Linked DNA regions of Canis lupus familiaris. Each later gene encodes a partner of the first gene's protein in a complex. Links are inferred from orthologs where the notes say so. Each region holds a gene or a part of one and is shown on either strand. Other genes may lie near its edges.

Region 1 (3,656 bases):
CTAATACTGTTAGTAAAATGTTAATTTATTTTATTCACAGAACACAAACCATCAGTGCAAAACAAGAAAAAGCACCAAGTAAAAAGCCGGTGAAAAAGAGAAAAAAGAAGAGAGCTGCCAATTGAAGTGCATAGAGTTGTATGTTTGTATATATAACTATTAAAAGGATATTTATTCAGTGCTAATAACTTTGGGTATTTTTCTACTCACAAATCCATTATAAAATCTAGTTGATTCTTTACATAGCATTTTACATTATGCTTTAAAATATTAACCTTCTGGACAACTTAACAGGTTTTAAATAATTGTAAAGTGTAAAAGTTGAGGAAAGAAAAAGCACTTTCATAGTGTGTTCAAAGGGCTGAAAGATTCTCAGGATCATCACAACTGATAAATAAGCACAGATTTATTCCAGATATGCTTAGATTATGCTCAAGTCACAAAATTGATCCAGTTGCTTAGGAAACTGAATATTAAAACTTCAATGTTTCCCTAAAACTATTTTTAATTTCAAGAGAAGCCTTCCCAGTCCCCTTCTATAGTAAAATCACATTAATTCTTCTGAGTGGTATCTTAAAGTCAAACCAATTTGACTTACAAACCAAATTTTCCAAATCCATTTATTAGTTCTTACTCTTATTGTGCTGACAGGTGGCATCATTAATACTTTAACAAAACCACTTAAAATTAGCCAAATAACTAAGATAGTTACATGTACAAAAGATATACAAATTAAAACCATTTAAAAAGTAATAGATACCATAATTTGTACTTGACCATAACTATTCAGAATGATTGTAAAATTAAAACCTTACAAAAACTGTACACCATATACGTTGAGTGATTTACATCTTAGAAAATAAAGGCAGTCTTTCGCTGTTAGACATTTAGTGTCTCTGGTGGGTTGAGGAGAGAAACACCATGATACCTGTAAGTAGGAAAAAACAGTAAATGTTCATCAGGTAAGATCATGGAATGATACATCTAATTAGGAACTCAAAAATGCTATTTCTATTCTGAATTAATGGTTATTAAATCACTGGTCCACAAAGCATGCATGCATGCCCCATTCCTCTCCCCTCCTCTCCCTCAAATGGAGAACATAAAGCCTCTAACTACAACTTGCTCAAAACAGTTGGCTTGCCAAGAGGAGGCTGTGCCTCTTTTGAATCCTTTGATAAAATGTCAAGGATCTCAGAATCCTACAGTAGCCAGGAAAAGCAAGCTTCTTTAATACCTATTTATGTTAATTCTTACTTTGAACTTTTATACTTTTCTCTTATAGACTGTTGTGCATGCTGTGGTGCTCTGAGGTAGGTCTGGTGAAGGTCCATGAGACAAGGCTTAAGACTTTCCAAGGTATATCCAGTCTTTTGAACTAAAGATTCAGGCTGCAGAGAAAGGAGTAGAGAACCACTGAGTTTTGTTTTTAGCAACACTAAACACAATGAGTTAGTAGTTGGTATTAAGCTTGAATTTCATTAAATTTAGGACTAACACCTCCAACTAACCAATCTAGTGTTCTCAAGCTGTAAATCCATCTTTTATGCTGACTTTGATCAATTTTTATTACTTTACCTGTCAGTAGTAGGTCACATCTTCCAAATCCAAGCAATAACTAAGCTTTCTATGTAACAAACATATTACTAAACAGGTAAACTTTAAGCAGCTTAGATTTTTTTGAACTGTTTTTCCAGGTAGGTACCTCTAGACCACCAACACTTGTACAGTTATCTAACTTATCTGGCCTAAATATTCAAATTGCTAGGTAGACATGTGAAGCATGGCAATACATACCCAGCTCTGTCCTGTGACTGTGTAGAGTGCTAAATGAAAGGCTGCTGCAGCAATAACTGATGGGAGATACTTTAGGTAGGGGTCAGCATCGATCAGACTTAATTCTCCCAAAAACTGGAATGAAAAAGTAAATACACTTGATGATTACAAGAGCTCTAGAATTCAAACCTCAAATTTTTGCCTTCTGCCCTAACATTTTCCACTCTTTAAGACTGGCTCTATGGCAACCAAAGAAAAAACCTCCCATAGCCTTATCCATTATCTTAGTGTTTTTTGCTCCATTCTCATCCTGAACTTTTTCCTCTTTTAATAATTTTTAAAACAACTCTTCTGGCTACCATTTCCTAAGACTTCATCCTTATACCACTATACTCCTGGTACTTTCCCAATTCATGTTCTCTTTTGCCAATGGTAGGCTCTTTTTATGCGGCAACACTACTTTGTCCCTGAAATACTAAATCCCTTGACCAAAGCTATGTAATTAAACTATGTGACCTAAAAATCTTCATTCAACAAAATGAAAAGAACTTACCATTGCTAAACTTTCAACTTTGCAGTTGGCAGACTGCTGGTGCAGAAAGTATTGGGTAAGAAACTGATTTACTGTTGGTGCAGCTAGGTCAAAAGCAAGCACTTTCAAAACTAGGTGCTCCATTCTCAGGACCTGTTTCTTGGTATAGGTATCATCTGTAATGTACACAAACTCTGCTACTTCTGGGGGGTATATTTCTTCAAACTTTCTACAATGAAAAAAGTTTTGAGTAATCAGTTCTTCCAAAAAGAGAAGCAAGCTGTTTATCTAATTCTGAAATCCCTTTAGCAGAGCAAGCTGTTTATCTAATTCTGAAATCCCTTTAGCAGAATACATGGAATGAATCCAAAACCTATACTCCACCACAATGCCAGAATTCACCAAGTAACTAAAAATTTAGGAAATTCTTAGAAAAATAAACATTTTTAGTTTTTGAATTTAGTTTCCATGTCTTAATGGTGAGAAGATTTCATGCCAGAAAGTACTTTTTGATGGAAGGAACCACTTTTAAACTTGGTAATCTAGTCCTAGCATATTAAAATATAGCCCGTCTCCCATCTTCATTCAAGAAAATTCCCTGAAATCTAGATCTGGGAAAATTAATGTCCTAAATTAGTTTCTTACTCTGTTTCATACTGCTACCCCTTAAAGTAGTCACTCTCTGCCTTGTGTATATTAAAATGTCACAATGTTAAAAATCACAACTTCTTCCCTACACAAGAAGTTATCACTTTTAATCCAACAAACCAGGTTGGACTTACGAGGCCAAGAGCATAGCAGCAGTGCCCACAAGCTGAAGTTTTCCTCTCAACACAGACATCGATGAAAGGAACCTATCAATGTAGTTCACAGCCAAATGCAGGGTCTCATTCTGTAGTTTATATTCTTCTCCTACTTCAACTAACCAGTCCACAAGGATAGCCCTCATACTGTTAGTGATGTCTGGCTGTTTCTTCATGTAACCCACTTTAGGCTTACATTTAACCTGTTGAGAAAGTTACTTAGTATAATGTTAAAATTACAATTAGATTATTCTACCATTAACAAAGATGCTACATACCAGAAACCTAAATACAACAGAATAATCCACTAGCAGTTAAAAAACTTAAAATCATCCCCTTGGTTTCATTTTGCCACAATGAATAACAGTATAAAAACTGGATTCCAGAGCTGTTACCTCCATTTCCCTAAGGTATGTGTGAATGTCCTCATGGTAGTCTGGAACTTCATTGACACTCAATGGCTTTTCATCTTCTAATACAATTGATATGTCCATAGTATGTGGTGACTCTGGGAGGATATAAAAGTATGATTAAGTTCATAGTTT
Region 2 (2,861 bases), on another chromosome or scaffold:
CATCTCTGTTTTATTGGGTGACACATCAGAAGTATAGTAAGGAGGAGTTTGCAGCCCTCCTGGAGGGTTTGAAAGTTGAGAAAGGAAGTGGAAATCTTCCCTGGGCCTGGCAGTGCTATGTGAGGGGGTTGCTCCGTCACCTCCATAGTTAATTGGCAGATCCTCCCTGGGGATATTTTCATAATCAACTGCACCATCCAGAAATGAGGGAAATGTGCTGGCAGTTCTTCTGGGATGAGAAAAGAAGGCACTGTAGTTAGCTGATAAAGTGTCATCGATGGTGTTGAGGTCTTTTAACCCAAGTGTCTGAAGAACCCAGGGATCCACAGGGGGCCCAGGTTGTTCTTCACAGTTAGCAAATTCACTAGAGAGGTTTCTCTTGGCATTTTTGTGATGGGGGATCTCAGGAGGAAAATATCTTTGCTCTCTGGGTTTCCTCTTTCTCTTTCTGAATTGTCCACATGCTTTGGAGAACTCATCTGATGACAGCAATTTCTAGGGAAGTAGCATTTGAAAATATATGGTCAGACAGTCAACCAAGATAATTTTCTTTACATTGTCTGCTTAAAACTCCTCCAAATACTTACTAGTCCCCTTAATTCCTTAGAAAATGTGATTAAAATTCTATTCTCTCTCTCTCTCTCTCATGTGTGCACATGAGAGAGCGAGCGAGCAAAAGTGATTAGATTAGCTTGTTTCTAAATTAACATCTATAATGACAAGTTACTACCTAGAAACCATAACTCATGTTTTACTAATCATATAAAACTTGAAAGAAAGAAATAATGTCTTTAAATTTTCAATTCAGAGAAGTAATTATTATAATAATGACAATAATAGCAACTATCATGTATTGAACACCTACTACATGCATAATATTCTCATTTTATAAAATCCTCTTTAGTGAGGAAACTGAGACACAGGCATATTAGCGACTTACTAAGGGTCATGCAGCCTTGATTAAATGTAAGCCATCTGAATCTAGACAGAGTAACTGATTGAAACAATATCTAACACTGCTTCTTCTTATTTCATTAACTTTCATAGTACTCTCAAGTGACATGTATTATTCTACATCTTAAACAATTGGGAAAAGAGAGAGAAAACTGCTAATCAATATAATTTACTAATTCAATAAATGTCTTTTTTTTTTTTTTTTTTACAAAATGGTGGTTGGAGTTAGGAGCCCAAGCTTGTAACTGGGAGATATGCTCCTTTTCTTAAAAAGGTGACTGGATTGTAACTAAATTACAGAGGAATCAGATATGGTACCCTTTCTTCTTTGAACTATTATTTCCAGTGAAAATGGTAAGGAACATCATCAATTTAAATTAAATTGAGTTTATTTAAATAATATCAAATAATGGAGCTTGTCTAGCAGCAAGGTAAAGATTGATGACGAAAGAAATAATGATAGCAGAAGGGCAAAAAGATAACAAAAATACAAAACCCAGAGAAAGGAAGAACAGAAAGAGACTATGGACAAGCTATTTGTCCTTGAGTCAGAAATAGTCCCTTTGAAAAGTAAGAAAAAATGTTCACTGAAAGATGATGTCATCAGCAATATATAATGGCCAATCAAAAGATCTGGGCTCTAACCCTATTCATAACATTTTAGAGCTGGGGAGATTCTTAAAGGATCTTTTAGCCTCTGCATTTACAGAGGTAGGTGAGTGAGGCTAAGTGAAAGAGCAATTTACCAAAAGCCCAGCAGATAATTAAAAGAACCGAGTGTCTTTCAGATCTGATTCCCACTGCAATGTTCCATCCATTTAACTCTGTCTTTTGATTAACCTCTGTTGTCTTAGCAATTCCCTTGACTGATTTTTGATCCTGAAGCAACTCTTTTTGTAATATATGGCTAAAATCTACAGTCTAGAAACTTCCAAGAAATGATACATAAGAAGTCTTGTGAAAGTGCCATATTGGAACGCCTGGGTGGCTCAGTGGTTGAGTGTCTGCCTTTGGCTCAGGTCATGATCCTGGGGTTCTGGGATTGAGTCCTGCATCGGGCTCCCCGCAGGGAGCCTGTGTCTCTGCCCCTCTGTGTCTCTCATGAATAAATAAATAAAATATATATTTTTAAGAAAGTGCTGTATTTCTTTCAGAAAAATCCATTTAGCCTATGAATGCCTTTGAAGCCATGCTTCAAGTACACCTTCTCTACTTTGGTCAAGTCAGTTTTACCCCAATGATCTCCATTCTCAAATCACTGCTCTGCTCTTAGGAACAGGATGGTTACATACCTTGGCCTTTTCCTCAAGACATTTAACCACAGCAGAATTCAGGTATTGTCTGAGATGATTATTCTCTTCGTGTAACCTAGCGAGTTCTTCTTCCTTCTGCACTAGAGTGTCTTGGAGCTGCGAAAAGCATACAGTGGTGAAGGCCCCTCTACTCTATTGACTTTGTAACTGTATAATCATGCCACTGATCCTTAACCTGCTTAAACTTTATTATTATTCTATTTGTTTTATGAACGCAACCTCAGGGAGCCCTCGTCCTCTCAGGCCTAAATTCAATCTACACCCACCCACCACCTCATTGTTCAGTTTTGTGCTCTGAACCTTTTATTCACTGCAAAGTATTTGAAGAGATTATATGACTTTCAAAGTTGTAACCACAAGGGAATTGGGAAGGTATGTAGGAAAATGAGCTGCGTGCAACTGTTTAAATATAGAAAAAGGTGTTTAGAAAGGTTTCACTAGACTCCTTCCTTGCATGTTAAGAAAAGATGAAAAACAAGGGTGGTGGTGGTTTGGCTTCCCTCATCCTCAGGCTAATCTGTTTGTATATCCACTAGATTAAATTACTCTCTCGGGAACAACAGCAAATAAAACATGGAAAATGAAGCAATCTTT

What was found.
Region 2: the proteins of CCNA2 (region 1) and GMNC are in contact, whole or in part, in a cryo-EM structure (PDB 9HIU), measured with the Homo sapiens proteins. The link is inferred for Canis lupus familiaris from reciprocal best matches to the Homo sapiens genes CCNA2 and GMNC. Residues at the interface, in NP_001228.2 of Homo sapiens: Met210, Ile213, Leu214, Asp216, Trp217, Glu220, Val221, Glu224, Arg250, Leu253, Gln254, Tyr280, Ile281, Thr282, Asp283, Thr285; in NP_001140158.1 of Homo sapiens: Asn165, Ala166, Lys167, Arg168, Asn169, Leu170, Ser171, Glu173, Phe174, Ala175.

What each region holds. Positions count from the first base shown.
Region 1 is NC_049240.1:19,147,567-19,151,222, reverse strand, and holds part of CCNA2 (cyclin-A2), read right to left. Parts: intron 3,620-3,656; coding exon 3,507-3,619; intron 3,315-3,506; coding exon 3,091-3,314; intron 2,538-3,090; coding exon 2,330-2,537; intron 1,912-2,329; coding exon 1,798-1,911; intron 1,392-1,797; coding exon 1,258-1,391; intron 929-1,257; coding exon 880-928; 3' UTR 126-879; coding exon of another isoform or gene 41-125; 3' UTR 1-40. Other genes in the region: EXOSC9 (exosome complex component RRP45), read left to right, coding at 41-125. UniProt on the Homo sapiens protein: Cyclin which controls both the G1/S and the G2/M transition phases of the cell cycle. Functions through the formation of specific serine/threonine protein kinase holoenzyme complexes with the cyclin-dependent protein kinases CDK1 or CDK2.
Region 2 is NC_049255.1:22,977,204-22,980,064, forward strand, and holds part of GMNC (geminin coiled-coil domain-containing protein 1), read right to left. Parts: intron 2,364-2,861; coding exon 2,247-2,363; intron 496-2,246; coding exon 1-495. UniProt on the Homo sapiens protein: Regulator of DNA replication. Promotes initiation of chromosomal DNA replication by mediating TOPBP1- and CDK2-dependent recruitment of CDC45L onto replication origins.